4 linked regions of the Tamandua tetradactyla genome follow. The protein of the gene in region 2 purifies or fractionates together with the protein of the main gene of each other region. This does not show direct contact. Links are inferred from orthologs where the notes say so. Each region holds a gene or a part of one and is shown on either strand. Other genes may lie near its edges.

Region 1 (8,433 bases), on a different chromosome or scaffold from region 2:
TCTGTTTCCAACCTTTCACTATCCTATTTGTGTATTTGGATCTAAAGTGATTCTCATATAGACAGCATATAGATGGATCGTAATTTTTTATCCATTCTGCCTGTCTCTGTCTTTTGATTGTGGAGGTTAATCCACCAACATTCATTGTAAAGGCAGTACTTTCTTCAACCATTTTATCCTTTGGGTTTTATATGTCATATCTTATTTTTGTCTTTTTTTTTTTTTACCCTTTTAGTTACCCTTATTGATAGCCTTCATTTCTACACTTTTCTTCCAAACCTCTCCTGCCTTTTCCTTTCATCCTGTAGCACTTCCTTTAGTACTTATTGTAGGGCAGGTCTCTCATTAACATTCTCTCTCAATTTTTGTTTATCTGTGACTGTTTTAAACTCTCCCTCATTTTTGAAGGACATTATTTGCTGGATAAAAAGTTATTGGCTGGCAGTTTTTCTCTCTCAGTACCTTAAATATATCATACTACTGTTTTTTTTGCCTCCATAGTTTCTGATGATAAACTGGTATTTAGTCTTATTGAAGATCCCTTGCATGTGATGGATTGCTTTTTTCTTGCTGCTTTCAGAATTTTCTCTTTCTTAGGCATTTGGCATTCTGATTAGTGACTTGGAGTAGGTTTATTCGGATTTATTATATTTAGAATACATTGCGCTTCTTAGACCTATATGTTAATTTCTTTCATAAAAGTTGGAATTTTTCTACCAGGATTTCCTCAGATATTCTTTTTGCCCGCTTTTTCCTCTGTTCTCCTTCTGGGATACTCATGACACATATGTTTGTGTGTTTTGTGCTGTTCATTCAATTCCTTGAGACCTGTCTCTATTTTTTCCATTTTTTCCCCTTTCTTATCTTTTGTCTGTAAAATTGTGGATGTCTTATCCTCTAGTTCACTGATAATTGCTTCTGCTTCTTTACATCTGCTATTGTTTGCCTCCAGTGTATTTTTTACCTCTTCTATTGTGCCTTTCATTCCCATATGTACTGGGATTTTTTGCTTGCTTGTTTTGTGGGTTTTTTTTTTTTTTTTTGCATGTTTTCAAATTCTTTTTATCCTCACCTAGCATTGTCTTTATATCCTTTATCTCTTTTGCCATATTTTTCTCCATCTCCTTGAATTGATATAGGAGATTTGTTTGAATGTCATTAATTAGTTGTTTCAATTCCTGTATCTCATCTGAAGTTTTAGTTTGTTCTTTTGACTGGGCCATATTTTCCTGTTTCATAGTATGGTTTGTAATTTTTTGCTGGTGCTTAGGCAACTGATTCACTTGATGAGTATATTCTGAAGATCAGTTTCTCTCTCTCCTGCCAAGGATTTTCTTGTTGTCTTTGTGCTATAGCTCTTCTTTGATACTGGTTCAACTTGTTATAGACCTTTAGAATAGTTTGTGTTTGATCAGATTTTTTCAGCTCTTATTCATCTGATTCTTACTCTGGATATATGGTATAATTTTTGAGATTGTAATATTTGTGCAACTGTTTCACTCCCGGGAGAAAGCTTCCTTTCCCTTGTTCTCCTCTGGGAATGTTGATCTATTCTGTTTTTGTTGTTGTTTGCATGGGCAGGCACCAGGCATCAAACCCGGGTCTCCAGCATGGCAGGCAAGAACTCTCCTATTGAGCCATTGTGGCCTGCCCTCTGTTTGTTTTTTATTTGCCTCATATGTTTTTTTATTTGCCTTTATATGTTTTTAACACTGTTTTCATTATTTCTAGTTGCTTTTACCAGGAGGGCTTTTTCTGGGAGGAGGGTCCCTGTCCGTTTTTCTCTGTCAAAACAGGCCCAGGACCCACAGAAGTGGTGTAGATAGTTCCAAAGTACTCTGGGGGTGTGCGGGGAAGACCCAGAAGGATGTCAGTCTACTCTATATCTTTCTGATATGTACTTCCCTGGTGTGCCCAGCAGCTGGCACTCTTCAGCCACCTGTTCCCCATAGTCCTAAAATGGTACTGTGCCTTTAATTCTCAGCCGATTGCCTCTGCTGGGGGTGTGGTTGAAACAGAAGTTGCCAGCCTCTTTGGGCTTTGGCCAGGGAGGGTTGGAAACTGTTGCCCAGATCCCAGGCCCTGGAAGCTGAAGTCTCTTACTGCTGCTAACTGCCCTGGCCCTTGCCCACTTCTCCCCTTTTCTTGGGGAAGAGCTGCCCTTTAGAAACCTGTCCCCAACTGACCAGAGAAGCTACTGTGTCTCAACCAGTCCCACTTCCTCCCCTGCTTGGAGTGGGGTTGAAATGGAGGCTGCCAGTTGATTTCTGCCCTGGGCAGGTTAAAACTGTAGCTGTTATTAATTCAGCATCAGTGAGTAAAAGATGGGAAGAGAAGAAGATGAGAAGCAGTTTTACTACTTTGGAGAATGCTGTATTAGTCAAGGAAAGAGATACTGAAATCTTGGATGAAGAAGGGAGCATGGTAAGAGTATTGTGGAGAAGGAAAAGGCTCAGTTGACACCTCCTAAGCAGAATCCTAATGTTGGCACACTTACAAGGAGAAATGACAAGGTGTTGGACCTGCCATTAAAACACTTGTAATCTAGGTGGGGAGTTTAAAACAAACTGACTGTAAGGCACAGTAGACTAGAGGCTATAATCAAGTATGAGCCAAGTTGTTTGAGAGCACTTTTGCTTGATTCCAGGAGGTACAAAAAGAGGGATACTGGAATAGATGAGGATGGTTCAGAAAAATAGTAATTTTATTTTTCCTGGTAGGCTCATGAAGGCTTCATGACAACAGTAAGGCCCCTGAACTTTTCTGGCCCACCCCTCAAGTCCCTGACACTGTCTCTGCACCTGATGGGAGTGACAGATTGGATGAGAAGGAGGGTGCAAGTAAAGTAACTCTGGACCTGTTCTGTCCAGTATAGTAGCCACAAGTCAGATATGGCAATTGAGCACTTGAACTGTGACTAGTCTAAATTGAGATGTATATAGGTGTAAAATACACAATGAATTATGAAGACTTAGTACCAAAAAGAAAAGAATAATTTTTAAATTGATCACATATTAAAACAATAATATTTTAGACATATTGAAGTAAATATATTTTTGATATTAAAAAAACAAACAAACCTGTAGCTGTATTTTCTCAGGAGCTAGAATTCACTTTGAATTCACTAATCAAAAGCTGGAGTCAGTGCCTGTTCCCCGCTCCCCCCACCCCTTTCTGTTCTGGGTAAGAATTGAGTGTTCTGAATTCACTAATCAAAAGCTGCAGACATTGCCTGGCCCTGTCCTTCCCTCCCTCTCGCATTCATGGGATAGAGGGCTTCTATTTCCAGCCAGGGAGTGGCTCCCTAAGGTAGCCCTTTGTGCCAGTGGTGGGTAGATCCCAGCCTCTGCAACATAGAGAGATCTACTCACAGCTTTTTACCACAGTTTATCAGTCTCTTCCTTCTGCTCTTTGCTGGATAGTGTACGGTGTTCTTCGGGTCTCCAGAGCCCCGCAAGCAGTTGTTTCAGTCAGTTCCTGGCTATTTGCTAGCTTCCCTGGAGGGTGAACTGAATCCTGACCTCCCTATTCTGCCATCATCCCTTAGGGCACTCTTATCCCTTTCATTTTAGTTAACTGGCAAAGGGTCTTAGCATTTTAACTGAGAATCTTTTGATGATTTTTCTACTTGAGAATTCCTGGTGAAAAATTAAAGAAGGGGCCAGCTGAAAAAGCCATTTCCCCCTGGGAGGAGGCAGGTTTTTTCATACTTATACTCTTGAAGGAAGATATCTCCCAGATGTTGGGAGATATCAGTTTATATCCTTAATCTGTCCTCCCAGTACTATTAAATAACCTTAATGCATCATGATGAGCTATAAAACTTCCTAAATATAGCATATGCCCAAGAGTTAGCCTGCCAGATTTAAAGTCTTAGCTCATTCTCTGTGCCAGGGCAGTGGCAATAATGTTTCATCAGAAAGTCTTCCTTTGCAAAGAGGACAGCCAGCTCAGCTTTAGCAGCAGGACAAGAATCATAATTTGAAAAGGTTGATAACTTTATGATGTTTAAGGGACCATCTTCTCCTTTGAAGACTGTCATGTCATTAGCTAGAAAATGAATGCTGGTTCCACTAACTCTGTGTTTAGCTTTTGGGGGCTCTTCTAGGTAGATGCTTTCAGTTGATTACTTGGTAACTTTTTTTTTTTTTGAACTTTTAAAAAATTATTTTTAGGGCGGGCCACTGTGGCTCAGCAGGCAAGAACGCTTGCCTGCCATGCCAGAGGACCCGGGTTCGATTCCCGGTGCCTGCCCATGTAAAAAATATATATATATTTTTTTATTGAAATATATTCATGCACATAGAGTCCATCACTTGGAAACTTTCTGAAATATAGACCAGGTACATTAGACTTCGGTTTGAAAAATCCTGGAGCCAGCAGCTAAGCTGTCCAGGGTGCTTTAAGCACACATTTGTGCACTTGAAGGTGTTATGACATTGTTCACATCCCACACACAGGATAGCTGGCTATATGTAGTATGCCTATTTCTGTGAAATTGGGCATAATTTAAAAATTTTATGAATCTCAAAATTTTAAACATACCAGTGATTATAGCCCTGCAGTTATCCAGTTAGTGTGTGACCTGAGCCTGTTTCTTCATCTATCAGTTAGCACCCAAACCTGTTTTGTATAATTATGACTGGTCCTCCATTCTAAAAACTTAGAAAATGCATGATATCGTTACATATTTATTTCCTAGAAATAGAGATATAACTTGAGGGACCTGTTCACTTTGAGAGAGTTCATTGACTGAAGAAAAAAATCAGTCTGAGGCAGTTAGATGTAGTAAAGGTTATTTATTATGTTATTGTGTGTTTTCTTGACCCAGCTCCAGTAGGTAAGAAAGTGATTGATGGAAAAAGCCCCTTTGTCTGCTGGGTCCCTGAGAGCAAGCCAGCCTTCCTTTGGTTGCTGATTGTAGATGTGCTTGTGTTCCTTTCTCCTTCCAATCTGATCTCCCCTGTCTGACTTCTCCAGTGAAGTCATAAACAAATATTTGTGATAGTTTCTTGTTACCATGGTAACTAAAGAAACACAGTAGCTGGTTTCCCCTTCAAGCTTCACTGTCAGTGCTGCTTGAAGGAGGGACAACCCTTGGGGGAAAGCCAAGGCTCAGAGTCATGAAAAATCATTTATCAGGTAATGGGGAACAGCAGTCCACAGTGCTTCTTTTAGAAATCTGCCCTGTACCTGTGAGCCTTCAGGCCCAGGGATAATCAGGGACCCCAAAGGCAGGCTATTGCCATCTCCTAGAACTTTCTGCAGTAAGTAAAAATGTGACACTTGCACATTCTAAGAGCCTACTGCTGCTACTGAGTCCCTAGAATGCTTTCCAGAAAGCCCAGAGGAACCTTCCCTGAAGTTTGATCTGTTCTCTATCCCTGACTCCAGGGTTAAGCTCTCCATCTCAACCTCCATTTTCATTTTTCTTAAATCAAATTCTCTCATAGATTACTTACCCCTGCCCCATTTATGTGCATTCATTCTTGTTCTATTCTTTCTGCCCTTGCTTCCCACCTCCACGTTGAACTCCTGCTTGAAAACTCAGTCCACATTTTATCTTTGGAAGATTTTCTTTTAAACTCTGTCATCACAATTACCACTAACTCTCCAGAAAAAGGGCACAGAGTAAGTTTCTCTTTCTGTGTTCCTATAAAACTTTTACATCCCTTTTGCAATAAATTTAGTTATTGTTTAAGGTTAGAAATGTAGAGGATAAGAGTTGTTAATAAGGGAAAAGCCAAGTTTGTAAGGCTTCAGTCCCATCTACGCACACTTCCAACACAAAAGCCACTTTACTTTACATTTTAAAATTAATATTGGGATTCCAAGTCATATTTAATTGGAGGTACGTTGCAAAAATGTTGAAATCACTGTAAGTTGCAAAGCCAAAATTATACCTAAATCCATCAGACTCGGAAGTTCTGTTTCCTCTGTGGCCTGCCTCTCAAAATATAAGGCTTTTCAGATCTCAGATCCAGTGATTAGAAGGAGTGAAGGTGGACTGGGTGAGGATAGTTATTGGGTAGAGAAGAGACGAAGGTGAAGAGAGCTGTTTGAGCAGTGCCACAAACAAAATCTTTATAATAGACCAAGGCCATAGGTCACACAAGCAGAGAATAAAAGCAGGTCTTACAGGCCTGAGAGCTTCCCTTATTATTATTTGATGAAATGTGGTAGAGCCAGGCCTGAATGCATTAAGCAGGTGGAAGGCTGATAGACTTCACTTAAGCTTCTCTGGAGGCTGCACTATATATCCAGCCACACTTCTTCCCAACTTTTAATCCCCTTTCAGTCTGCCCATGATACTCAACCTTGGGAGCCTTTAAGAATCATCTTTAGCAAAATGCAAATCAAACCCACAGTGAGATACCATTTCATATCCACTAGAATGGCCATTATTAAATAACAAAAAAAAAAACAAAACAGAAAATAGGTGTTAGTGAAGATGCAGAGAAATAGGAACACTTGTGCTTTACTGGCAGAATTATTGAATGGTGCAGCACTCTTTCAAATCCTCAGGAAGTTGAGCATAGAATTATCATATAACCCAGTAATCCCATTTCTAGGTATATATCCCAAAATGTTTGAAGCAAGGACTCAAACAGTTATTTGTACACCAGTATTCATAGCAACATTATTCACCATAGAGAAAAGATGGAATCTTTGCAAGTGTCCATTAACAGATGAATGGATAAACAAAATGTGGTATATACATACAACGGAATATTATTCAGCCATAAAAGGAATGAAGTTCAGGTAAATGCGACAATATGTATAAACCTTGAAAACATGTTAAGTAAAATAAGCTAGACACAAAGATAAATATTACATGATTCCTCCTATGAAATATCTAGAATAAGCAAATTCATAGGGACAAAGTAGATGAAAGGTTACTAGGGACTTGGGGGGGATGGGGAGTTATAGCTTAATAAGCACAGAGTTTCTGTTTTAGGTGATGGATGTTGGTGATAGTCACAGAACACTGTAAATGTAATGCCACTGAATCATGCCCTTAAAAATGGTAAAAATGGCAAATTTATGGCATTTCATTTATAACAATAAAAATAGAAAATTAAAAAAAAATTTCTAGAGGTCATGAGGAGGGTATCTTTCTGACCTTGTGACTGAAAGGATTTATTAAACAGAACCTGCATACATACATACATAGTTATATATCTATAATATATGTATCTATAATATATCTTAACTAAAAGAAAAGATATATTAACCTTAAAATTAAGAACTTTTTTGCTAAAGGACGCCATAAAAAAAGTGAAAAGACAAGCCATAGAGTGTTAGAAGATCCTGTAACACAAATAACCAACAAATGATTAATAAGTAGAATACTAAAGGACTATAAAGTGATGAGAAAGGGACCGCCTATTCAGAAAAAAAATATTCAGAATATAGAAACAGGCATTTTTTTCACAGAAAGTAAAACATACATGGCCAATAAACATGAAATTTAACCTCATTAGCAATCTGGGAAAATCAGTATCTCAGTGAAATCCTTATTACAGCCGGTAGGTTGACTAAAGTCTGATAATTCCAAGTATTGGTCAGAATATGTATCAGTGGAAATGATGTATTGCTAAGCTAGTGTAAATGGGTAACAGTGGAAGGCAACTTGAAACTATCTGGTCAAGTTCACCATTTACCAACCCAGCACTTCATTCTTATATTTGTACCTTAGAGCAGTGCTTTTCAAAGTGTGATCTGCAGACTGTTGTAGACTACAGTCCAGGTTTCTATTTTCCCTGTGTTGATATTTGCACACATTCATCAACCCTCATCACTCACTCTTTAAAAAAACAAACACAGGTTCACTTAAGAATGTCCTTGATGAAACAGTACAGAGTCAACCCTTGAAAGTATGTCTGGAGGAAAATCACTTGTGGGATTAAATTGTACACTAAATTACAGAGTTTTGTCATGAATGAATGTAAGTCATTTTACATTGCATTACATTTTCTCAAAAGTATATGAAGTGTCAGTTATCAATAACATTTGAGCTTTCAAGTGAAAATTATAATTTAGAAACTCTTTCTATCTACCACTAAGTGCTCAACAGCTTCCTACTAGGTTTGTAATAGGAAAAAACGGGGCGGGGGGGAAGAGACCAAAACAAAAAGGGATAAATTATAATATAGTCACACAGTGGAATATTATGACAGGAAAAATGAAACACAGTTGCATGCAAAAACACAGATGAATTTTAGAAACCCAGTGATGGGAGGGAGATATTTTCAGAAGACTGAATAAAATATGATATACTGTTAAGGGTTATACATATGTGATTAATAAAAACAAAAGCAAAAGATAATGACAATTCAGGATAGTAATTTTGGTTGAATTGGGGTATAGGGGGAACCTGAGATAGGGGAAGAGCCCAAAATTAGATTCAGGAATATTGGTAATGCTTCAGTT
Region 2 (7,923 bases):
GGGGGGCGCGCCGGGGGCGCCCGGGGCATGCTGGGAATTGTAGTTTCCCGCCCTCGGGGGGCGCGTGGCGGATTCCTTGACCCGAGGAGGATAGGGACGTGCCCTTCGGTCTTCACCCGCGGCGCGGAGCCAAAGCTGGGGCGGGTGGGACGGGAGACGAGGTCCCTAATTTTTTTCAAGAGGCCGGCGCGGGGAGAGGGGGCAGGGTACGGAGGCGTTGAGGGTCTGTAAAAGGTTAATGCAGCGCCCGCCCTCCGCCGTGCGGTCTCCTTCCCCAGCCCCGCAGGTCCTGGGTCCCTCTTTTTTATGGTAATGAGGGGGGAGGGGCGGGGAGCGGTCCGGGCTGGGTCGCTGCGGCGCCCCCACCCCCCACTCCCGGCCTCCGGGCCGCGCGCTCCCTCCGCTCCCCGCCCCTCGCGCTCTCCCGGGGTCGATCCCGGCTCCCGGGCGCGGGGAGCGGCTCTCGGCCGAGCAGACAAAGCCCGCAGCCGCGATGACGGGCTGGGGGTGGGTGCGGGGGACCCGGCTCTGCGCGCGGTGCGGGCCAAAATGGGGTGCCGGGCTGGAGGGCTGGACCCCCCTGGCAAAGGACACGATCCTCTCGTCCCCAAGCGGCGAGCCACCCCCACCCCCCACCCCGTCTCCAGTCTCGGAGGCATCGACTTGGAGGTAGGTGAGTTCTTTCTCGGCCCTCTGGTGGGTGGAAGAGGGTCAGGAGGGCCGTGGCGCAATGGAGTGAGGAGGACGAAGGGGGTGAGAGAGAGGGGAGAAGGGGGACGCAGGCATGGCAGGGCTTAACAGTTTTGGGTGAGGGGCTTGAGCTTTGGGTGCCACGGAAGGAGGAGAGGCTGGGGGTGGACTGGGGACCCAGGCTTCCTTCATCCTGGGCCACGAATACAGCTTGGGAGTGCTCAGTCCTTTAGCCGTTTCTGTCATTCCACTTTTCTTCATGCATCTCTCTCCAGTAATTCAGCCCCTTTGACTCTGGAAATCTGGTGAAAGTGAAAATAAGTTTTTAAAGCTTAAACTGGGTGATTGCGTACTTTTAGAGATAGTTTGAGGAAGTTGGAACATAATGCAGTCTTTTCTCCTTCTACCTCATATCTTCGGCATTTCTTTTGTCACCCTTTTTATGCCTACGTCTTTCCCAAGAAAAGAGTTTGTACTGCAGCTTGACGGTCTGAAGTCAGACTTTAAGAAGGACTTCCCAAAAGAGGAGTATAAGAGCGGGTGGATGAGCTACAGTGGTGAGGTGTCCTTTTCTGGAGTGTCTTGGAAACCGAAAATCTGAACGGGTTTGTGAAGTAAAGCCCTGTTTGGAGGCAGGGGAATGAATGAGATGACCTCATAGATCTGGCAGTAGGAGGCCTTGAGAGCTGAGCTGCACAGCAGAGTTCCCTAAATTAATCCTTATCCCCCGGGTTGGGGAGGTGTGCCCCCAGCTCAGGGATTTAACATAAGATTATTGACAAGATGAACAACAACGGATGCCACCCCACTGGGTGACAGTGGTAGAGGAGGATTTGTAGCGACAGGAACTCGGGGAGTGGGCTCTTCCTGAAGTTTGTCCCCTCTCTGTCTGTCCCAGGGACCTGGATTGGGGGAACTGCGGTACTGGGGATTTGGGGCTTTCACTAGGAAAAGTTCCCACTCTGAGGCCCAGGTGACTGTTTTTCACACTAATAGAAATAGCAGAGTTGTACCAGGTGTCTTTATGGGGCCACCAGCTGATTTGAGCCTTCTTGTCCCCACCGAAAGGAGTCTCCCACTCCAGACCCCCACCCTGAGTTTGCCCTGCCTCCACTTTCCTCCCTGCTAAGCTAATTAAAGCAGGAGGTTAATGACCAAAGAAGCCTTGGGGATTTGCCCAGCGAGGAAAACAAAGGACAGAAACAAGTGTGTGTGAGTGAGGTGGGGACAGCTGCTGAATGGGAATAGGGAAGGGCTGAGGGGCTGGGTGATGGAGGCGGGGGTCCCTCCTGGACCCACATTACTGATCCAACAGCAAGGATGACTCAGCCCCTTGGGTGTGTCCAGGCACCACGTGTCCACCCTCAGAGTCCCAATGTGACTCCAGACAAACATCCTTCATTGCAGGAGAGAGGTAGACGTGGACCTGGCACCCTGGAGGGCAGGTGTGCGTGTGTGAGGGCACTTAAGTAGGTGGCATGGATGTGCACACATGGGAGTCTGTGCTTGGGATCACGTGTGTGCCTGCAGATTGTATATGTGTGTATTTGGGGGGTTGTGCACAGCAGGGAGTACCACAGTGCCCAGACCATAGGGGAGCCCGTGAGTGGACACCTTTACGAGTGGGGCTCGCAGGGTGGAACTTTGAGGGGTCCCTCCCATGCTCCCTGGGGCTGATGGCCTCCTTTGTTCACCAGACCTCGTTCTCTCCAAACAACACATTTGTGCGCCCACACTGGGTTCCTGTCCATGGGTACTCCTTTGTCTTCCTACTCCTGCTTGCCCAATCTATAGTTATGCTGATGAGGGTAGAAAGCCTTACTTAAACAATTTGCTTGGAAACGGCTTTCCTTATGACTAGAAAGGTGTGAAGGTGCCGTATCTCCCCCTTCCAGGACCTTGGAGGGGAAGACTGTGTCTCTCGTCTTTGTCATTGTCCCCCTATTCTGGCTCCCCAGTGCCCAGCACACAGCCCCGACTAGAGCAGAGACTCCAAAAGGATAGATTGAGTGTAATTGCATGTGTGAAGTCTCAGGTGTGAGGGGGAGGAGGCTTCTGGTTCTTGAGCAGTCATTTAATGCTCAGCCTCAATTTCCTCACCTCCAAATGGAAATAATAAGCCCAGTCCCTAGCACACTGCCTGGCTCATCCTAGGCGTTCAGTCAGTGTTAGTTTCCTTGCCTGGTTGTTCTTACCTCGAAGTTGATTTTAGCCGAGTTGTGGTCCCTGTTAGTTAAGTTGCATACATTCATTCATTCAGTCATTCAGTCGGTCAACCAATTCCTATTGAGCTCCTAATATGTGCCAGACACTGGAAGAGATGCTCACCCACTATGAGTTACTTGAAGTCAGTTCTAGGTCTAGACTTGCCAAAATAAGATCATCCCAAACAGCAGATAATTCCAAAAATAATTTCTATGGAGTACTGGAATGCAAACTGTGTCTCTGTCTCTCTAACACTCACAGACACACACGCATACACACAAACACACACACACACACACACACACACAGGCCAGGCTCCTGTCTCAGGTCTGGGGAACAAAGGACTCAGATGAGTAGCCTGAGTGTGCATTGTGTCTGTACAAGTGTGTGTCTGGGTGTGTGATAGCCTGGTTGCAGGGCATAAACTCTCAAAAGTTGCGAGTGGAGTGGTGCAGGTTTCACGTGGAGCCTGGAAGACAGGTGTGGTGTGTATGACCCAGACGTGGGGGAGGGGTGTCTCTATGTGGAGTTGCGTCCATTCTCTTGGAGGAAACCATGCACCAGTTGTCACTGTCCAGACACCAAGTACCCGGGATGGGGGCACACACCTAACGCCTGCCGCTCTCCCATCCTATGCTCAGAGTCCCTGGGGAGAGAGGGAGGCACACGAAGCCACCACCAAGGCTGCCCTACCAAGCAGACAGGTCCTTAAAGGGGTCATCTCATTCATCTCCCTATTCCTACCGGGATGCCTTCTTCCCCATCTTACTTAGCTGAGCCTCTTCTTCTATGCCTTATGGGGTTCCCATTTTTCTTTTCTTAATATCTCTCCTTTGTGGGAAGTCCACCCTGCTATCTAACCATCATCCTTCCTGCTGAGAGCCAGTTTCCTCTCCGTTACTGGACCATGCTCAACTCATTAAATAATTAATAATCAATGAGAATGTAAGAATATATTGGGCAAAATTCTGTAGACTACATAAAAGATCTTGATCCCTGCCTTCCATGAGCCACAGAAAGTAGCCTACATAACTCAGAAAACATGGACAAACAGGATTAAAAGTGGGGGCAGAAATGGTCTGTGGGACTGGGGATTAGAGGGAAGAGTCGGTCACCGTGGCTCCTTCTGTCACTGTGGACTTGATCTCCAAGGGCCTCGAGGACCCAGTTTGAGGTTTGAACCTGGACAAACACACCTCCTCCTTCCCTGGGGCCACCTCAGCCCTCCCCCTACAGATCCCCTGCACGGTCTGATTTCCCCAGGGACAGTAGCTTAGAGGGGCTGGAGTGGAGCCTGGGTCCCCCAGGACAGCTGGTTAACAGGGCCCCTCTGGGACTCAGCGCTGGACCCAGGCGTCCAGGAGGCAGGTGATACTGGAGCTGTGACAGTTGGTCCCCAGATTCCTCACCCAGTGGCGCCAGCTCTGGTTTCTGGCTGAGCGAGGGAAGGGGAGGTACCTGGTGCCAGTCGGGGCTGGTTGCCCTCTGGGGGCAGGGAAGGGGAAGTAGTAAACATACCTTGGTAGGTTGTTGAGGAGGGATTTTTCTAGTACCCTCCCTGTGCCAGGCACTGTGCTAAGTGTCATCAGGGGATATTGAATAAGACACAGCCTGTCACTGCTTTTAAGGGGTTCACAGATGAACTGATGGGTATAAAAGACATAATCCCTATATGGAATATCAGAGCTGGAATAGAAGTTGAATGAATGAGTGAATGAATGGCTTCATCAGTTATCTAATGGCTTCATTTTACAGAGGAGATTGAGGCCTAGAGAGCTCAGGCCCTGTGACTTCCTTGTGTCTTCTGTTTGATCAGGCTTCCTTTTCAGGAAAGGGAAGAGGAAGTCAGAGAAAGGAGTGGAAAAGGACCGCTGTTTCCTGAGTGTCTGTTTGGTGCCACTCTTTCTCCTTGGCCCTTACAGACCTGATCTTATCTAATTCTCATCACAGCTCCGGGAGGCTGGAGATGCTGTCTTTGCTTAACATTCCACCAAGAAGGGAGTGATCACTGGAGCTGGGAGAAGCTTGGGGAGACTTCCTGGAGGAAGCAGATTTGAAGGAGTCCTTGAAGAATGAGTGAGATTCATTCAAAGGGAGAGAATGAGAAGAATGTCTGGAGGTCCAGCACCCGAGGTACTCAGGGAGGATTCCCGGTGGGGTGGCGTGTCAGCTTGCCTGGGGAGCAGGGGACAGATGGAGGAGACACGTGTTTGCCGCCAGGTGGCGCTACTGGCCAACCACTGGCTCCTGTCCGGGCTCTGACACTAGGGCCCTGGTGCCCTGCCCTCCCTGCTCAGGTACCATCCCTGGTTTCTCCCACGTTCTATGCTTCCGGTAGGGCATCCCACAGTCGGGGGACCAAACAAAGGCTACCGGTTTGTTTCTGATTCAGGAGACAACCCATGTGGCTGAGACCTGGGCATCCCCATGGGTTTGACCAGCTCCCTTGGCTATCCTGAGTCCCCTCCAGCTGCCCTCCTGTGTCCCTTCTTAGCCCAGGGGCTAAGAAAATGGTCATTTGAGTCCCAACCTCCCTACTTATTAGCTGTGACCTGGGCCACTGTTAATAGTATCTACCCACTAAGGATTTTAACTTTTCATTCAGCAAGTTTACATTGAACACCTACCATGTCAGATATCCTTAGGCACTGGGGATCCACCAGAGAACAAGAACAAAGGGTTGATATTCTGTGGGAGGGGAGAGGCAGCTAGTAAACAAGTAAATAATGTAATTCCTAGTAATGATCTCCACTGGTGAGAAGAGCGAAGCAGGATATAGGGCAGGAAAGTTAGAGGTGGGTCATTTCGGCTGGTGATGTGGTAAGAACCGAAGTGGACATATAGGGCACACAGCATGATGTCTGGGCCTGGGTTAGCCAATGTTACTTTTTTTAATTTCCTTTTCCTCTTGCTCTACCCCATCCCCACGTCCCCCTTCCTTTATCCCACATTCTCTATACCTTTTCCCGGTAGCCCTAACAGGGAAGAAGGTGGTGCTGGCCGAAGAGCCAGGAACTCTGAGTTTTTAAGTCTTGACTCTGCCCCCAGCAGCCCAAACCCACTCCCCTGCCAGTGCCCCCAGCTTCTGGTAAATGACACCACTGTCCACCTGGTTGCTCACGTCAGAAATCTGGCACCATCTATGATCCGTCCCTTTGCCCTGCCTCCCTCCCATCCAGTCCACCACGTACTCACAGCTACAGCTCAGAATACTCCCCCAGACCACCGACTTCCCACCTCCACCGCTACCGCTGTGCTGCAGCCACCATCGTCTCTTACCTGCAGTAGCCTCTAACTGGTCTCCCTGCCTGCACTCTTGCCCCTTCCTGCAGCACCCTCCAATCCCCACCTAAAACCCTGCAGTCTCCTACCTAAAGCCCTACAACAGCTCCTATTGCCATTAGATTCAAAACAAAATTCCAGCCGGTCCAGCCTCATTTCTCACCTCCTCTCTGCCGCTGACACCGCCCCTGCCCCCAATCCTCTTCTCCGGCCACAGGGACCTTCTTTCAGGTCTTTGAACACACCGTGTTCTCATTATCCAGCCTTTTCCTGTGTTTTCCCTTCCATCTGCTCTTCCCTCACTTTTCACCTACCTGAAGCTTGGTCATCTTGCAGGACTTAACTTAGATGTCACTTTCCCTGGGAGATCCCCCGTGGTCCTTTTTGGGTGTCACTCGCCTTTCATCACACTATATTGTAAGTGCCTTTTACATTTCTGTTTCTCCTAGTATACTGGGAGCTCCCTGAGGACAGGGACTGGAGCTGGTCCACTGTATTCCCAGCACCTGGCACAGAGCCTGGCACACAGTAGGTGCTCAATAGATGTTTGTTGTTTGGAAGCTGAGCCTGCTTATCCTTATGTTCCCTCCACCCGCCTCCCCTGCTAAATATTCACCTCCTCCCTCTGCTTTTCCACATCCCCCACCCTCCACACCCAGCTTTTACCCTTACCCTCACCTGATCTCCAAGTGGGTGCTGTCTGCATGGTGCTTGGTGGATACTGTGCCCTCTCTAGCCCCTGGTCTGGGGCCTTCATACACAGCAGGAACTCAGTAATGGTGCCGTGTCACTGTCATGAGTTTTTGATTGATGGCTCAGAGGGAATTTCTAAGTCTGTAAACCCCTCCCCTCAGTCACCACTCAGGCACAGTAGGACTTTGAGTGTGCAAAAAAGGATACGGGGATCCCCTGGGGCTGGCAGGCCCTCTGCAGAACCCAGGCCTTCGCACACATTATTCCCTCTGCCTTGAATCTTCTCTCCCCAACTCATCTTGGCTATCTCCCACTCATCCTCCAGATGTGAGTTTAGGAGTCATGTCCCCCAGGAGGCCTTTCTGACCACACTGATGGGCCTCAGAGCTCCCCGAGTCTGCTGTGGGCCCCAGTACTTTCCTTTGTGTTTGTGCTTAGCCCACAGAGCTGCCTGAGCTTGTTTAGGTCGTCTGCATGTACACCAGACTGCACGCTCCCCCAGTACAGGGGATGTGTTCTCCAGTGCCCCGCACAGAGGAGGCCCTCAAAATTGCTAAGCAAATGATTGATTGAATGAAGAAAACTGCCATGTGACCCTGAACAGGTCACTCCATGTCTTCAGACCTTAGTTTCCTCTTCTGTAAAGTAGGGACAGAAGAGCGTAGGGCAGCGGTGTGCCTGCGAACGTTTACTGAAGGCCAAAGCAAAAAAAGCCCTGGGGTGTCGCATTTGCCGATTTCCTTGGTGTAAATTCTTTCACTGTGGCTGATTTCAAGCTACCAACTTGACATCACCGAAATGTACAGAGCTGGGGAGAGATGTGGACACCGGCTCACCACTGCAGATGGAGTGGCTGGGACCAAATGGCTTCCAAGGCGCTTTTTAGCAACAATCTCCTGGCCCTAACTGCCCCCTGCCCTGCTCCCCATGTCCTCGCCTACCCTGAAGACTGGAGGTCAGAGGTTAGTCCCTGGATTCCTATCCCAGCTCCCCACTCTTATTACCTCCCCAGCACCTCCAGTTCTTTCTTTTCTTTTTTTAAATTTTTTATTA
Region 3 (8,104 bases), on a different chromosome or scaffold from region 2:
TCTGGCTGCGGGGTCTCTGTCTGGCTTGGCCAGGAGCCCCCTTGGTCTACGTGCCGTCCCTGACCACCGGTGCAGCGGAGGGCACCAGAGGGGACTCCCCAAATATAGTCTGTCTAAGGGAGTGCACTCATAGCCTAGAGTTGAGGTCACAGGGGCCCATCCTCCTTAAGAAGGATGAAACATTTGTCTGAAGCAAGGCTTCATCTCAAGACTCAGAACCAAGGAGGGGTACCTGACCAACATCACAAGATCACGGCCTCCATCTACCTGGTAGAGGTGGCTTGGGAAAGCTGCAGAGTTTTCAATCACTTACTTAGCAACATCTACTAAGTAAACATTTTCCTGGTACCAGTTACAGAGGCGAGGGGCCATAACCACCTGCATCTTTCCCTATAAAGTAGGGACAGCCAGCATACCTTGGAGAACTCTCACAGAGGAAGAACTCATCACAGTCCCCCAAGGTCACCAGGCTGGAAGACCCAGTTCCCTTCCTTCAGGCAACAAAGTATCAGATATTTGATAAGCAGCCAACAATCCTCCCATACAAATGTAAGAGAAGGTATTTATATGCAAGCACAGAGAAGAATGACTTCTTTCTTTCTGGCTTTTAACCAGCTTAGCCAGCAGAAAGACTAACTTTAAATTCTGAATTAAGAAGCAAATCCACAAAGGAAACATCTCTACCCACCTCCAAATACCTTTACAGAAAAACTACATTCACTTCTATTTTCTTTTAGCACGGGCAGGCTCTGGGAATCCAACTCCACAGCAGGTAAGAATTCTGTCATTGAGCCCACCGGTGCACCGCCCTACATCTATTTATTTATTTGTTTTTTTGCATGGGCTGGCACGGGGAATCAAACACGGATCTCTAGCATGGCAGGCGAGAACTCTGCCTGCTGAGCCAATGTGGCCCGCCCCCTACATTTACTTATAAGAGGGAATTTCTTTCACCTTATAAATATCTGGAATGAGGGCCCAGAATGTTACAGCTTAACTGAAACAGGTAACTCAAGTTACCTTCCTCAGAGAAGCCTTTCAGGACTCCCTCCTTCAGAGCCAACCCTCCTCTTCCTCAACATTTTGGGCTTGCTGCCAACACACTGGCTGTAGGCAGATATTCTCTCTGTCCTTCTCACAACAGGGATCTCTGGTTGTCTGGCGAAGACTATGGGCATCCGTTTGTGGCAGTAACATCTTCAAAGCACAATAAATATAATGCAGAGGCTCACAAGGGTAAGCAATTATACTGAGATAATCATCAAATCATTTAAGAAGTATTTTGGAGATACAGTAACACATGATCTCTAAAGCATTATATAACAAACTTGTACCTGTCTGATAATTACAGTAAATTTGAAGTAGGAATGAGAGTAAATGATATTTTGAAGATTTCCAACAACTATAAAATGATAATATCTGTAATTACTACTGGTGACAAAAATCACTGGTACTATTTATATGTCTTTGCTTTGCTGCTTATATTCATAACTGCAGAAAAGAATACCTTTATCTAGAGTTTAGTGAAAACAGAGCTGAAAAATTCATGGACTTCTTGAGTTCCACCCACCATTTCATAGAACCTTGGCCAAGAACCCAGGCAGTAGGAGAGGGAACTTCACAAAAGCAAACTCCCCATATATTTGCAATAAAGTTCAAAGCCCTTTAGTGGTAAATTCTGGTTTTCCAATGATAGGCCCATATTCTTCTCAGTCCTCACTTTACCACTCCCCACTTCCATGAATAAATGACTCCTAATCAAGTGCTCACATTAGTTGGGACCCCTTGGGGTTGCCAGCTTTTATCAGCTGGCATACACCCCTGCACAGCAGTAATGCTTATTTACCAGCTGTATTCCCTTTAACTAACGGCAAAGTCCCAAAGGCAGAGTTTGCACTGTGTCCCTAGTACCAAAAACAGTGCCTGGAATGAAACTGTGTATAATAGGTGCTCAACAAATGTGTACTGAATGCAAAGCACAGCTTCCAGGTACTGAGCTAGGTATGCCCTGAGGATACCAAGATAACCAGATAATCTTAAGTACCGGCACTTTAGAAAATTCAGGGAGGGCTATTTGATCATTCTTGGAACACTTTCCTGTCTCATTATAGAAAGAGAAAATCAAGAGGTACCTTGATGCTGAGTAACAAACAGCATTATATGGGAGACGGGGAGGATCTGGGCAGGTGAGAATTACACACAGACACCAGCAAACTGCAGGACGGAGGAGGCAGGAAGGCCCCTCCACTGAACAGGAGACTTCAGACACACTGCCTCAAAGCACACCCCCAAATCGTCATCTCAGAAGTCTCAGGGAGGATGGGACGGGGTTCCCCACTCTGTCAGAAAGCCCAGAGAAGGAATTTCCCGCCCCACTCGACTCAAATCAGATGGCTGTCAAGGCATCAAAAGGACAGTCTGGGAAGTTTGGGGAAAATGCTTTTTTCAAAGCATAAATGAGGCAAAAAGGGAATGCACTATGTAGAAACGACACCGACTTTTATATAGTTTTGCATAAACTTCTTTAAATTGAGGGTGAGTGGGTGTTTTTAAATATAGGTAAAAAATAGGTTATTAAAAAAATCCCCACAAGCCAGTAGTCACCACCAATGTAGGTCAAAAACCTTCCAGCACAAGGCAGATCAAAATCAGACTAGCGTCAAAAGATGCTGCACGCCTTTCCCCCCAAGGAGAGTGATGATAAAATAACAAGAACTCCTCTAACACCCCCAAAAAAGAATTAAAGCTGCTCCTTATTGTTATCTTTTTTTTTTTTTCATGGGCAGGCACCAGGAATCGAATCCGGGTCTTCGGCATGGCAGGCGACAACCCTGCCACTGAGCCACCGTGGCCCGCCCTGCTCCTTTTTAAAATGCAAAAAACACCAGTTACAGATCCTATTTTCCGAGTTTTTTCTGCAGAGCCTTCCGGGGGGGGGGCCCACGGGCAGGCCACCGAGTGCACAGTGACTGCAGCGGCGACCGCGGCCCAGCTGGAGGGGTCCAAGCGGTCGGGCCCACCCGGCCCATTCCGAGAGCCCCCGCCCTCCTTCCCCCCCAAGCCCTTCCCTAAATCTCACAAGGCGGGGCCGCTGCAGGGGCCGCTGCGGAGGTCGCGCGCGGGGAGCCTGAGGCAGCCCTGGTCCCCGCTCGGCACAAAGCGGCCCGCGCCACCCAGTGAGCAACCGAGGCCTCCGGGCCCTTCCCGCACCTGCACCATTATGGCCATCCGGAGCGAATCCTTGGGGATACTTTCGCCGCATTTCTTGCAGGAGGCGCGCCCGCTCTTGGCGTACTCGACTCGGTAAAGCTTGTCCGAGGCCTCCGCCATCCTCCTCCCTGGGCCGCCGCAGCGCCTCGGGACCGCAAGACCACAGGGGCCTCCTCCTCGCCCGCCACGCGGACGACAGCCCCCCCAGCTCCTGCAGGCGTCGGAATGCGCCGCTCCGGGATAGATTGCTCACGCCTGGCCACGGGACCGCCCTTGGCGCCCGCGCGCCCGCCCACCAGCCCCTGCTGGCGTCCGAGCGCGCCGCTCCGGGATAGATTGTTGATGCCTGGCCGCGGGAACGCCCCCGGCGCCCGCGCGCCCGCCCACCATCTCCAACAGGCGTCCGAGGGCGCTGCTCCGGGATAGATTGCTGACGCCTGGCCGCGGGAACGCCCCCAGCGCGTGTGCCCGCGGCCGGCCTCGAGGGCGGGCCCTTCTCGGCGAAGGGTTTACGGGCTTTGGGGGCTCTGGCGGCCGTTTAGTCTCCCTCTGAAGGGTAAATTGCTACCCCTTTAACCGTTTAGTTGCTAGGCAGGCGTAGTTGCTGTTGCACCGCTATTTAAACTCCCCAGCCATCTTTCTGCGTTCCCGCTCTTTTCGGAGAGCCGCCTGCTCGGGAACGCGGCTCACCTGCCGAGGGCTGGCCAGTGAGCTGCGAGGTTGACCCTCCCTGGCCCGTGGGACTCACTTGGAGTCCGCAGACCGCTGGAACAGGGTCCTAACTGAAACTTAGCGTTTCCTCTACTATGAATTTTGAAGCATGAATACAAATCCTAGGAATATTAGCAGAATCCGTGATTTGACTCACCAATAGTCACCACAAATACTTCGTATCACTTTACAGTTCGAGATAAATCAAAATATTATTAAGCTCAGAATATTATTGCCGTGGTTATTAGGCCGGCTAGCTCTAGATCTTCTTATTTAATGTAGGACTATATTTTTACCTAGCGACCAAATTAAAAAGACGTGCATTGTGCTTCTGGGTCGACAGCAAGGCTGTCCCTAAATGGTCACCCAGTAGCGTTCTCTTCCTTTTCTGGCTCCCACGAGCTCTGCTCAAGAAATACACATAATACCTATGTCTGTTCAGCAAGCTAAATGCAGTGTTACACCTGTGACCAGACACCCTCAGCTCTGGTGATTGGAACCCCACCATCAGCCCGGGCAGGCTGACATGGGAGGGAGGGAAAGAGAAAGTGTATGGTCCTTCTGCCTAGCCTGTACCGAATCTCATCTGTGTTATGCACCCCATCTGGTCCCCTTTGATTTAAACTGTTTTAAACTGATTTAATAAACAGTAATTCAAGCATTTTAATTTAACTGTGGGGTTTCTGTTTTGTGACTCCTGGGATAGCGTGCCTGATCGTATGTCTGGAGGCTACCATTACATTAAGGTGATTCCCTACCCACAGTTGATTCTGAGAAGAAGTTAGTAGCCTTCACTGGACCTCCAAAATGTCCTGAGTGTGCACACATGCAAACAAGGTTAAGAATCTGTGCCCTAGTGCACTTTTCCAACACTTTGCTGCCTCCTTTACTGCCTGTTCTAGTTTGCTAGCTGCCGGAATGCAACACGCCAGAGACGGATTGGCTTTTAATAAAAGGGGATTTATTTTGTTGGTTCTTCAGAGGAAAGGCAGCTAACTTTCCACTGAGGTTCTTTCTTACGTGGAAGGCACAGGATGGTCTCTGCTGGTCTTCTCTCCAGGCCCCTGGGTTCCAACAACTTTGCCCAGGGTGATTTCTTTCTCCATCCCCAAGGGCCTGAGCTGAGCTGCAAGTGCTGAGATGAGGAATGCCAAGCTGCTAGACTGTGCTACATTGCGTTCTCTCATTTAAGCACAAGCCAATTAAGTTAAACGTCACTCATTGCAGCAGACACGCCTCCTAGCCGACTGCGGATGTAATTAGCAACAGATGAGATTCACCTACAATTGGCTCATGTCCACAGCAACAGAACTAGGTGCTTTCACCTGGCCAAGTTGACAACTGAATCTAACTACCACACTGCCTCTCAAGTTAAAAATTTTTTTGGTACTTATATCTCTATCAAGAGTAGGAAAACCAAAAGCAGGTGGAGAGGATAGCAGTATGTGTCTTACGCCTGGGCTTCTTCCCTTCTTTCCTTTATCAGCCTGGTACCCTAGGCGATTTGAATTTGCCAATCCTGGCCTAAAGCTTAAAAGACTAAATTCCTTGTGATGGCTTATGTGCTGGTTTGAAAGGATGTGTGCCCCCTAGAAAAGCCATGTTTTAATCAAAATCCCATTTCATCAAAGTAGAGTAATCCCTGTTCAATACTGTATGTTTGAAACTGTGATTGGATCATCTCCCCGGATGATGTGATTTAGTCAAGAGTGGTTGTTAAACTGGATTAGGTGACGACATGTCTCCACCCATTTGGGTGGGTCTTGATTGGTTTACTAGAGTCCTATAAAAGAGGAAACATTTTGGAGAAAAAGATTCCAGATGAGAGAGAAACTCTGACTGTGCTCGCCATGTACCTTTCCACTTGAGAAAGAAACCCTGAACTTCATTGGCCTTCCTGACCAAGGTATCTTTCCCTGGGTACCTTAGATTGGACATTTCTATGGACTTGTTTTAATTGGGACATTTTCTCGGCCTTAGAACTGTAAACCAGCAACTTATTAAATTCCCCTTTTTGAAAGCCATTCTGATTCTGGTATATTGCATTCCAGCAGCTAGCAAACCAGAACAGCTTATAACTCCCCTCAGTATCCTTTCCACCCTCATCTCTCAGCACTCCAGTCACACCAAATTACTTTCCATTCACATGAACTCTTCCACATCTCCTTAACTTTGCACATGTTTTTTCTGTCTTGATAAAATACCTGTTCCCTTTCCCTTCACTTGGCAGCTCTGATTTGTCTCTCAAGATCTGGTTCACCTGCCACTATCTACCCCGCCGCCCCTCCCAGCAGAGCTGTCTCCCTCCTCCTTGGTCCTGCCAAGGCTGCTGTTGGGACATCTGCTCTGGAGTTCCTCCCACCAACCTGTAGCAGCGTGCCAGGCGGTGAGCACATGAGAGCAGAAACTACCTGCTGATCTCTACATCCTCTACATCTAGTTCCTGCTGATAGTACACATTTAGTATTAATATTTGAATGAATACTCTTCAAATTAAATCTACAAAATGAAAGAACCAAACTTGAACCTAGGTCCTATGTTTCCAATTCCAGGCTTCTATGGGACAGGAGCTTTGATTATATTGGTGCACATGCCTGCTTCAGTGTTTATCTAATCCTCTCCTCCCTCCACCTCCCCTTCCCACCCATCCCCTCCCCTTTCCCTTTCCCTCTTTTTTCCTTTTGGGACAGAATCAGTCAGAGCACTCTGAGCTCACTAGCAACATTTATGTTTTAAATTACATCCTTTTCACGCACTGTTTTCATTTTCAAATAAGAAAATGGAAATATGGAGAGATTAAATGATCTCTCCCAGTGTTAAAGTCTCTCAGTATTAGAGGCAAGATGAGAGGCTGAGCCTCTGCCTTTTTCCCCCTCAGTTTCCAGAGCCTCCCCTTAAATCACGCTCTCCAGCCTTCTTGTCCTCAGAGCTGAGCCCCGTGGCTGCTTTGCCCCTTCCTAGTACTTGAGCTGGTTGTGCGGGGGTCTGATCCTGAGGAGGGTTAAGCCCTTCCTTGACTAAGGCGGGATGGTTCAACCTTTCTTCTTGTGCCAGCTCAACGCCTGGCATTTAGTTGGTCGCTGGTAAAAGTTTTATTAAGTCCCTGTTTTCCAACCATCCTGAATTTTTTCTGAATTTCTTAGGAGTCTATTGCTCTCAGTTTTTGTCCAGCTCAAAAGAAACTCCAGTTTCTGATGAGGTGTGACGTGGGGGCTGAGCAGGAGCCTTGAAATGTGTGCCCATGACTATCACATTCTCTTGGCACCTCCCAAGGCACCTCACAGAATCCCAGAGCTCAAACCCTGTTGTTGGTGGTGTGTGTGTGTGCAGGGATGTGTGTGTGTGTGTGTGTGTGTGTGTGTGTGTGTGTGTGAGAGAGAGAGAGAGAGGCAGAGACAGGGCCGAGACACTGCACTCAAAGGTACTTATTGTGATTTTCCTCTTATAAAACTAAACAAACAAACGAAAACAAGCCAAAAAAATCAAACAGCACAGGCATAAATAGAATAAAGAGTGAAAACCTTCCTTCCCCAACCCCTCCCCATCCCCAAACCCCAGAGGGGATCAGTGTTTATAATTTGTCCTATATCCAGTCGGATTCTTTCACTAAACATTATACACACATACAGACTTTGAGATCACATTATGTACATATTGCCCTCTAAGAAGTTTGTTCCTTAATATCCCAGAGTTATCTATTACTGTCAGAATGTAGAGGACATTTCATTCCTTTTTAAAAACGCATGCAATTTCATAATGTGGCTGTGCTATATGTTTTTATTTGCTTGTAGGGATGATAATGTTATTTACTTTTGTTTTATCTACATTGAGTTTTCGTATTTCACATGGGATACACAAATAGATCCTTTTTTTGTAAAAGCTTGAGACTTGGTTGTCCAACATAGGAGCCACTAGTTACATGCGGCTACTGAGCACGTGAAGTGTGATAGTTTGAATGAGATGTGCTGTACATTTACAGTGCACACTGGACTTCAAAGATGGAGTATAGAAAAAAGAATGTAAAAATCTCATAATTTGTTTATATGACCCCAATTTGAAATGATAATATTTTGAATATATTGGCTTACATACAGTGAATAATTAAAATGAATTTCACCTATTTTTTTAAATGTTTTCATGTGGCTAATAGAAAATTTAAAAGTACATGCATCTCATTATTTTT
Region 4 (6,703 bases), on a different chromosome or scaffold from region 2:
TCCCACCTCCTTCCCTCCCCCAGCAGGAGGAGGGCCCTGAGGATGACCCACAGCTGGTGGGCATAACTGCCCGGTCTATTCCACGAGGAGCCCAGCTGGCTGCTGAGAACCTGGGCATCAGCCTGGCCAACTTGTTGCTGAACAAAGGGGCCAAGAGCATCTTGGATGTTGCACGGCAACTTAACGATGCCCACTAACAGGTCTGTGGGGCACAGGTACCTGGGTTGCCACAGTGCCCCACTCTTGATGCTGACTGAGGTGATTATACCCCAGGATCATGGACTTCCAGGGGCCTGCCTCGCCTTGGTGACTTTGCCTGGCCTCCTCAGTAGGTGGGGGCTGCATCTCTTTAGAGAAAGGTCATAGCCTTTGAATGTAACTAATTCTACTAATAAAGCAGTTCTGAAGATTGTTTTCTTTCTGCTCTTTCCCAGTGGGGTAGTTAAAATAAGTAAATAGCAAACACAAAACCCTTTACTCCTTATTTCAGAGGCCAGGCCACTACCCAAAGTAATCCTGGAACAACCTTTCGACTTCAGTAGCTCTCATTTCAAACAGAAGGAATTCTCTCCCAAGAAACACAGAACTGTAATCCAAAAATACTGTGGCTTGCTCCTTCTCTAGTTAATGAACTCCCTTATTTAGGTAATCCCCCACTATACACACTCTAAAATCAATCCTACAACTCTTGCAAAATGAAGAGACTCCTCATTAAAAAAGAAACATTTAATAAAATTAGTCCATCTGAAATTTCCCAATAACTAAGGTACTAGTCTTGGATGGGTTATCTGCAAAATTCCAGTTCAGAAGCCAACAGAGGCTCAGTCCAGACAGGGATGAACTGACTTGTGCTGGTTATCTAGGAGGTGCTTGCATTGCTGAATTGAGTTGCTGGAAGGGAAATAAAGGTGGAGAGGGTAGACCCCACAGGCCTGGCCACCAGTCGGTTTCAGGCACCTACACAGAACTGTCCACACAGTCAGCTGTGACTCCCAGCTGGAGGCCTCTGCCCCTCCCCCAAGCTTCTTTCCGAGAGGCAGTCATCTCTGGCGAAACATTCGTATCACAGCCCAGGCGGTAGCAGACAAGCCTATGAATAAAGATGGAGGAATAGATGGGAAAGCCCGTGACTTGGCAGCAAAAGGGCACCCAAGCAAATTAAGTGACCAGTCCCTCTCCCGTCAAAGCCTGGAAATCAACAGTCACGTCTGAAAAGTCCTGGGCTAAGCACCAAGCTGGAAAGGTAACAGACGACCACTCTGCCGCGGCGGTGAGGGCCTCTGCCGGCCGCTCTCTGCACCAACTCACCTTGAGGGCCGCAGGGCCGTCCGACCCCTGGGCATGGGCTGCACCCTCAGCCGCCTGGCAGCAGCAATTGCAGGGCGGGAGGCCGGTCTCCTCGGAGGGGATCCCGTCTCACCGCCACCCCGCGGCTCAATTGATAGGAGCGGATGGGTAACTAGCTCTGGAGCAGGGGCCGCGCCCCCACGCCAAGGCCACTGGAGAGACCGAAAGCGGTGTGGGAGCAGAGCTGCGCCGGCAGGCCAGGTGCTTCTACCACAGAGGACAGCCTGTCTTTCCAACCTCCCCGTAGGTGAAATAGAAACGCAGGCCTGCAAGGCCCGCGGCTGCAGAGGCCGGAAGCAAACGCGCGGCGAGGAGAGGCCGGGGGGTGTGGGGGTGAAGGGCCGGGGATGAAGGTTACGGCTCGGGGGCCGCCGCTCAGCTCTTTCCGTGAGGGCTGTGGTGGCCCTTAAAAGGGCCTTTGTGGTGGCATGGGGAGGGCCGGGGGCGGCCCGACTCCGGCGGGGCCTCCCTCAGTACTCCTGAGAGGCCTGCGTGGCCTTCTTGCCGCCCGCAGGCGCCTTAGGCCCAACGGTGGCGCTTGTCTTCTTGGGCAGCAGGACGGCCTGAATGTTGGGCAGGACGCCTCCCTGGGCGATCGTCACGCCACCCAGCAGCTTGTTGAGCTCCTCGTCGTTGCGGATGGCGAGTTGCAGGTGGCGAGGGATGATCCGCGTCTTCTTGTTGTCGCGGGCCGCGTTGCCCGCCAGCTCTAGGATCTCAGCGGTCAGGTACTCGAGCACCGCGGCCAGGTACACCGGAGCGCCGGCGCCCACACGCTCCGCGTAGTGACCCTTCCGCAGCAGCCGATGAACGCGGCCCACAGGAAACTGGAGGCCCGCGCGCGATGAACGCGACTTGGCCTTAGCGCGGGCCTTACCGCCGGTCTTGCCGCGCCCCGACATGCCGCGCGAGGTAGGATAAGCAAAGACGAAAAAGCTTCTCAACACTGAAAATCACAGCAGCCAGCCGCAGTCCAACTGCCGTCGCACGCGCCGTGGGGCCACTTTTATAGCCCCTAGGACACACCCCCGCACCTTCCTGATTGGCTCTCTTCTCTAATACCTGCCTCCGATTGGCTACTGTTAACCCTTTGATGACGCTTCTCGAAGGAGGAAGAGCGCCTGCCGATTGGTCGAATTTGAAAACCCTTAGCCCGGGGGAAAAGGCGAGGAGGAGAGGCGCACCGCAGACGCCCAACCTCCCCAGATGTAGCCAATCCATGTGAAGCGCGCGCGATTTAAACGCTACAGTGGGAGACCAGACCGGAAGACAAAGTGGGTGGAGTTTAAAACCGCCTAAAAAGCCTCTGGGAAATCCGGGCTGGCCTAGGATTTTTAAAGAAATGGAGTGAACACTAAGACCACCGCTGCTTACCCTTCCAGGTCTGGTTACTTCTCATTCTGTCCTCCTATCGGGCAAAGGGCGAATGAAAAAGGGAAGAAATGAGTCACCTAAAAGTATGAACCTATGCCTGAAATTAGATAACTCCAATCTTCTGGTCCTCAACGCCACCCAAAATATCATTATTTCAATATTTATTCAACATGGGCTATCTGTTCTCAATTCTTTCTGTTCACTTCTTGGTAGAAGGGGTCCGGTGTAATGAAAAGGATGGAGCAGAGAAATAGGTATCCTTTTGGGGATGCCCTCACTAACCCTTCCATCCTACCCTAAAATGCCCATACAGGAAAAATACCTTCAGGAACAATAAAAAGACATCACTTTATTGTCAACATTGGGAGCACCTGGCTCCTGGTCTGCTCTTACTAATCAGAACACTTAATTTGTAGTCAAATGTCAAGTCACCTTCAGGTCTGTGTCTCTGTCCCCAGCCCAGGTTCTATCCCAAGGCCTGGCATTTTCCTTGGCTGTCAGGACTCTGAGAGTTGAGTTGTGGATAACTGCATAAAAGCTGCCATATCCTACCTCAGGGCAGAAACAGGATGAAGAGGAAGAGAATGGCAAGTTGAAGAAAGCCATAGGCAAAGCCCAACCAATAGTCGTTAAGAGGGCATCATCAGGGACGGGAAAAGCTGAGAACAAATTCTGGAAGAATGAAGTGTGGGAGAGGCCTGCACTGGGAGACAGTCTTGGTTCAGAAAAAGCTCAGCCTGAGTCGGGAACCCTGGAGATTTCGAGGTAGAGAGCAATGATCAGGGGACTCAGACATCATAGAAGAGTCGGACAAGCTGGTACCGAATGGAGAAGGTGACAACACTGCCCAGGATCTGTAAGAAGAAAAGGATTCAAGTGAGAACCACAGAGAAAGTGAGACAAGAAGGAGGTGGAGACCCCATCCTCAACCTCACCTGCAGCAGCAGCAAGAGCAATGTGAGGTTTCGCTCATACATGGGTCCAAAGATTTTGAGCAGCAAATTGATGAGGGTCATGTTGTTGCACTCGGTGAAGGCACCATCCTCATTCTCATTCTGCCGCACTGTCAATAGCCGGAGGCTCTCTGCTACCTGGAGGGGCCAGAGGTGGAGAGAACTGCAGCTAAAACCTATGCTTCAGGAATGTGGATCTACCTACTGCTTCCACATTCCCTTTGATCTAAGGCAGCCCCAGGGTTCCCATGCCCCGAGTTCAGGATGGCTGCCTAAGGCCTTACCTCCTTGTCACTCTGTTACCTTTAGAATAAAGGTGCCCAAGAAAGAGAGGCTCTTGGTCTTGAACTTGGAATAGCTCATCTCCAGTTTGCCTGTTTTGGTATTGAGTCTGTGGGGTGGGGTGGGGTGAGAAGAGAGCTTTATGTGACTGTGACATTACTTAAAGAACTCTCCTCCCAGTGGTTAATCAATAGGAAGAGAAGTGACTGTGGAATTAAACAATATGAGATCTATTTCTGGCTCTGCTGCTTACTACTGTGTGATCAGAGCTACTCTGAATTTTAAATGAGTTTATGTAAGTAAATTGCTTTGTAGATTACAAAAGGGCTACCCACATGGAAAGAGTTAGCCCTTCTTTGGGCACACTCACTCTCTTTGCAAGCAAATGTATAGGCTGGCTTTAGACATCCCAAGTGAAAAGATTTTGATGTCCCTTCAATGGCTACCCTTTTCTACCCTGGTACCCAAGGCGGCTACCTGGGTATACGGTGGCGAGGGCAGGGGATGATGTGCAGGAGCTGAGGCAGTGAGTAGAGGAAGTTGAACACCTGGGGCATGAAGAACAGTAGCATGGTCTTGCTGAAGTGTCCCAAGATGCCCACCACGGCAAAGGTCATGCCAGCAAAGTAACAGAAGGTATCTCCCACAAACACCTGTGATGGGTACCTGTGGGGGGTGGGGGTATCTAAGCCAATGGCAAGAAGCATTACCAACCCTTTCTCTCACCTCTCACACTGGCCAGTAGGTAATCCTGACCCTAGTTTTGACTCAGGAGACTCCAGTTCTTCCAGCAACTTTGTAGCACACAGAGACCTGAATTCATCAATACCTGAGGGTTCTTGCCCCAAATATTGCAGGGCAGAGAGCAGTTTCCGAATTCTAACAATTGAGGACCCAGAAGATACTCAACACGGGTTTAGCCTCTCCATCAAGAGGTGGGCCATGATCAGGACCACACATTCACACAGTTCTCTCCCTTAGCCTACTTACCAGTTATGGTAGAGCAGTCCCAGGGTGGTGAAAAAAAAAGGTATCATGAAGTAGAGGGAAAAGACATGATCATCCCGACAGTCACCTTTGGGAGCAAAGAAAAAAGGAAGAGGGGGAAAGTTAATAGCTACTTGGTTCTATTTCTGTCTGTCCAACCTATCTCTAAGTTCTGTTCCAAGCAGCATCAACCTCTCCCAAATCACATTCAAGTACTCACTAACCCTCTCATGTCACCCTAGCAATTCTGGATATACCACCCCTTTCACAGAGCCTTCCTAAACTAATTACTGTTTTAAATTTGGTTTAGGACTTTCAGACCTGGGTTTGAATATGAGCCTTCTTTCCTTGCTGTGTGGCCTTGATCATGATACATTCAACTTCTCTAAGCCTGTTTCCTCATCTCTAAAATGGAGGTGATAACACCTGCTCCATAGAGTTTTTATGAGGTTTAAATGAGATGTTTGAAAAGTGCTTTAAATAAAATTTTTTTAAAAAATGATAATAAAGAAAACACAAAATGAAAAGTGGTTAACTTTAATAAGCGCTTGTTGATACCCAATGCCCAAAGACCACCAGAAGCACATCTATAGTCAAAGTTGGGTTGTTAACTTGTTGCAGCAGGAAGACTGTGGAAATCCATGCTGTAAAGGGAATGACACAGCACCTCAGTAAGAGGGTGTCAGGAGAGCTTGTTAAAGGATTTGTTTTGGGTAATTTGGGGAAGGATGCAAAGAAGCAGAGTTTTTCTCTGAACTGAGAGCTATCAGAAAGCAGGAATAATTCTATGGGTGAGCATCTTAATAGTTTTTATCTAAGAAGTAGGAGGAACTGCACTATTATTGGAAAGAAGCTGCAGTCACTCACGTTAGCCAGGAGAGGAGGATGTTTGGTCATTTTTGTGGTTTGCACAGTGTTCCTGTGGTTCTGCCTGTTCTCAGATATGATTATAGAGGGGTCTGGTCTTTGTCTTGCATCAGTACAATCACAATGTGAGCTTGTCTGATTTGGGGGTTCTATGAAATTGTTTATGTTCAACAGAAGAATACCACGGCCTAACTATTAGTATCAATGCAGTGACAGATGACAGGGCTGCTATTTCTCTTACAATCAATATTAGTTATTATTTGCAAAGCAAATAGCTTCTTTTTTCTTCTATAATTAATCACATATTGCTTCTGAGTTACCCAAAGTCATATATCAGGCAACTCACCAAACACTCAGACTTCTTTCTCATTCTTCTGCCAAGCCACCTACCTCCCAGCTCTACCAGGTTGAAGACAATGATGGAAGCAGAAATGACTAGTGACTGGCCAGCCTCTAGCCCATTGATTCCTGCCAGAATATTGATGGCATTGGTACAGAACACTGCCAGCAGCCCCATGTAGACATAGTACAGAATGCCTGGTAGAAAAGACAGTATGAAAAGAACTAGTGCCACCTATGGAAAGTGGATTGAAGAATATTCTTCTGAGGGGCATGGTAAGGAGAGTGGACAAGATGAGGGACAGAAGGCAGAAGAAGACACAGGAGTGGAACAGGAACACTGGAGAAGAATGCAGGGCATCAGGAAGGGTGTTCTGATAGATATCTGATATATCAGGAAGGGTATTCTGCTGGATATCTGCTGACCTGAAGTAAGGGCCAGAGGGGCACTAAGTGGCAGGGCTACTCACCTAAGTCCAGATGCAGGCCAAGAATTGGACGGAAGGGTTTGGGTACCACAATGGTTGTGTTGCCAAAGTTGGTGAAATAGACCA

What was found.
Region 1: the proteins of LMNA (region 2) and KPNA6 purify together in Homo sapiens (affinity purification with mass spectrometry; 4 studies listed by BioGRID and IntAct, with this or other methods). This does not show direct contact. The link is inferred for Tamandua tetradactyla from reciprocal best matches to the Homo sapiens genes LMNA and KPNA6.
Region 3: the proteins of LMNA (region 2) and PARP1 purify together in Homo sapiens (affinity purification with western blotting; 3 studies listed by BioGRID, with this or other methods). This does not show direct contact. The link is inferred for Tamandua tetradactyla from reciprocal best matches to the Homo sapiens genes LMNA and PARP1.
Region 4: the proteins of LMNA (region 2) and H2AX purify together in Homo sapiens (affinity purification with mass spectrometry; 3 studies listed by BioGRID and IntAct, with this or other methods). This does not show direct contact. The link is inferred for Tamandua tetradactyla from reciprocal best matches to the Homo sapiens genes LMNA and H2AX.

Annotation. Positions count from the first base shown.
Region 1 is NC_135328.1:193,717,880-193,726,312, reverse strand, and holds the start of KPNA6 (importin subunit alpha-7), read left to right. Parts: upstream 1-5,048; 5' UTR 5,049-5,123; coding exon of another isoform or gene 5,124-5,142; intron 5,143-5,551; exon of another isoform or gene 5,552-5,631; intron 5,632-8,433. UniProt on the Homo sapiens protein: Functions in nuclear protein import as an adapter protein for nuclear receptor KPNB1. Binds specifically and directly to substrates containing either a simple or bipartite NLS motif.
Region 2 is NC_135330.1:9,116,681-9,124,603, forward strand, and holds the start of LMNA (lamin), read left to right. Parts: upstream 1-4,869; 5' UTR 4,870-5,028; intron 5,029-7,923.
Region 3 is NC_135333.1:20,186,846-20,194,949, reverse strand, and holds the start of PARP1 (poly [ADP-ribose] polymerase 1), read right to left. Parts: upstream 3,460-8,104; 5' UTR 3,331-3,459; coding exon 3,211-3,330; intron 1-3,210. UniProt on the Homo sapiens protein: Poly-ADP-ribosyltransferase that mediates poly-ADP-ribosylation of proteins and plays a key role in DNA repair.
Region 4 is NC_135334.1:21,661,729-21,668,431, reverse strand, and holds H2AX (histone H2AX), read right to left. Parts: upstream 2,346-6,703; 5' UTR 2,250-2,345; coding exon 1,818-2,249; 3' UTR 1,309-1,817; intron 1,091-1,308; 3' UTR 712-1,090; downstream 1-711. Other genes in the region: HMBS (porphobilinogen deaminase), read left to right, coding at 24-197; DPAGT1 (UDP-N-acetylglucosamine--dolichyl-phosphate N-acetylglucosaminephosphotransferase), read right to left, coding at 3,510-3,575, 3,657-3,812, 3,978-4,065, 4,434-4,622, 4,947-5,031, 6,201-6,347, 6,620-6,703. UniProt on the Homo sapiens protein: Variant histone H2A which replaces conventional H2A in a subset of nucleosomes. Nucleosomes wrap and compact DNA into chromatin, limiting DNA accessibility to the cellular machineries which require DNA as a template.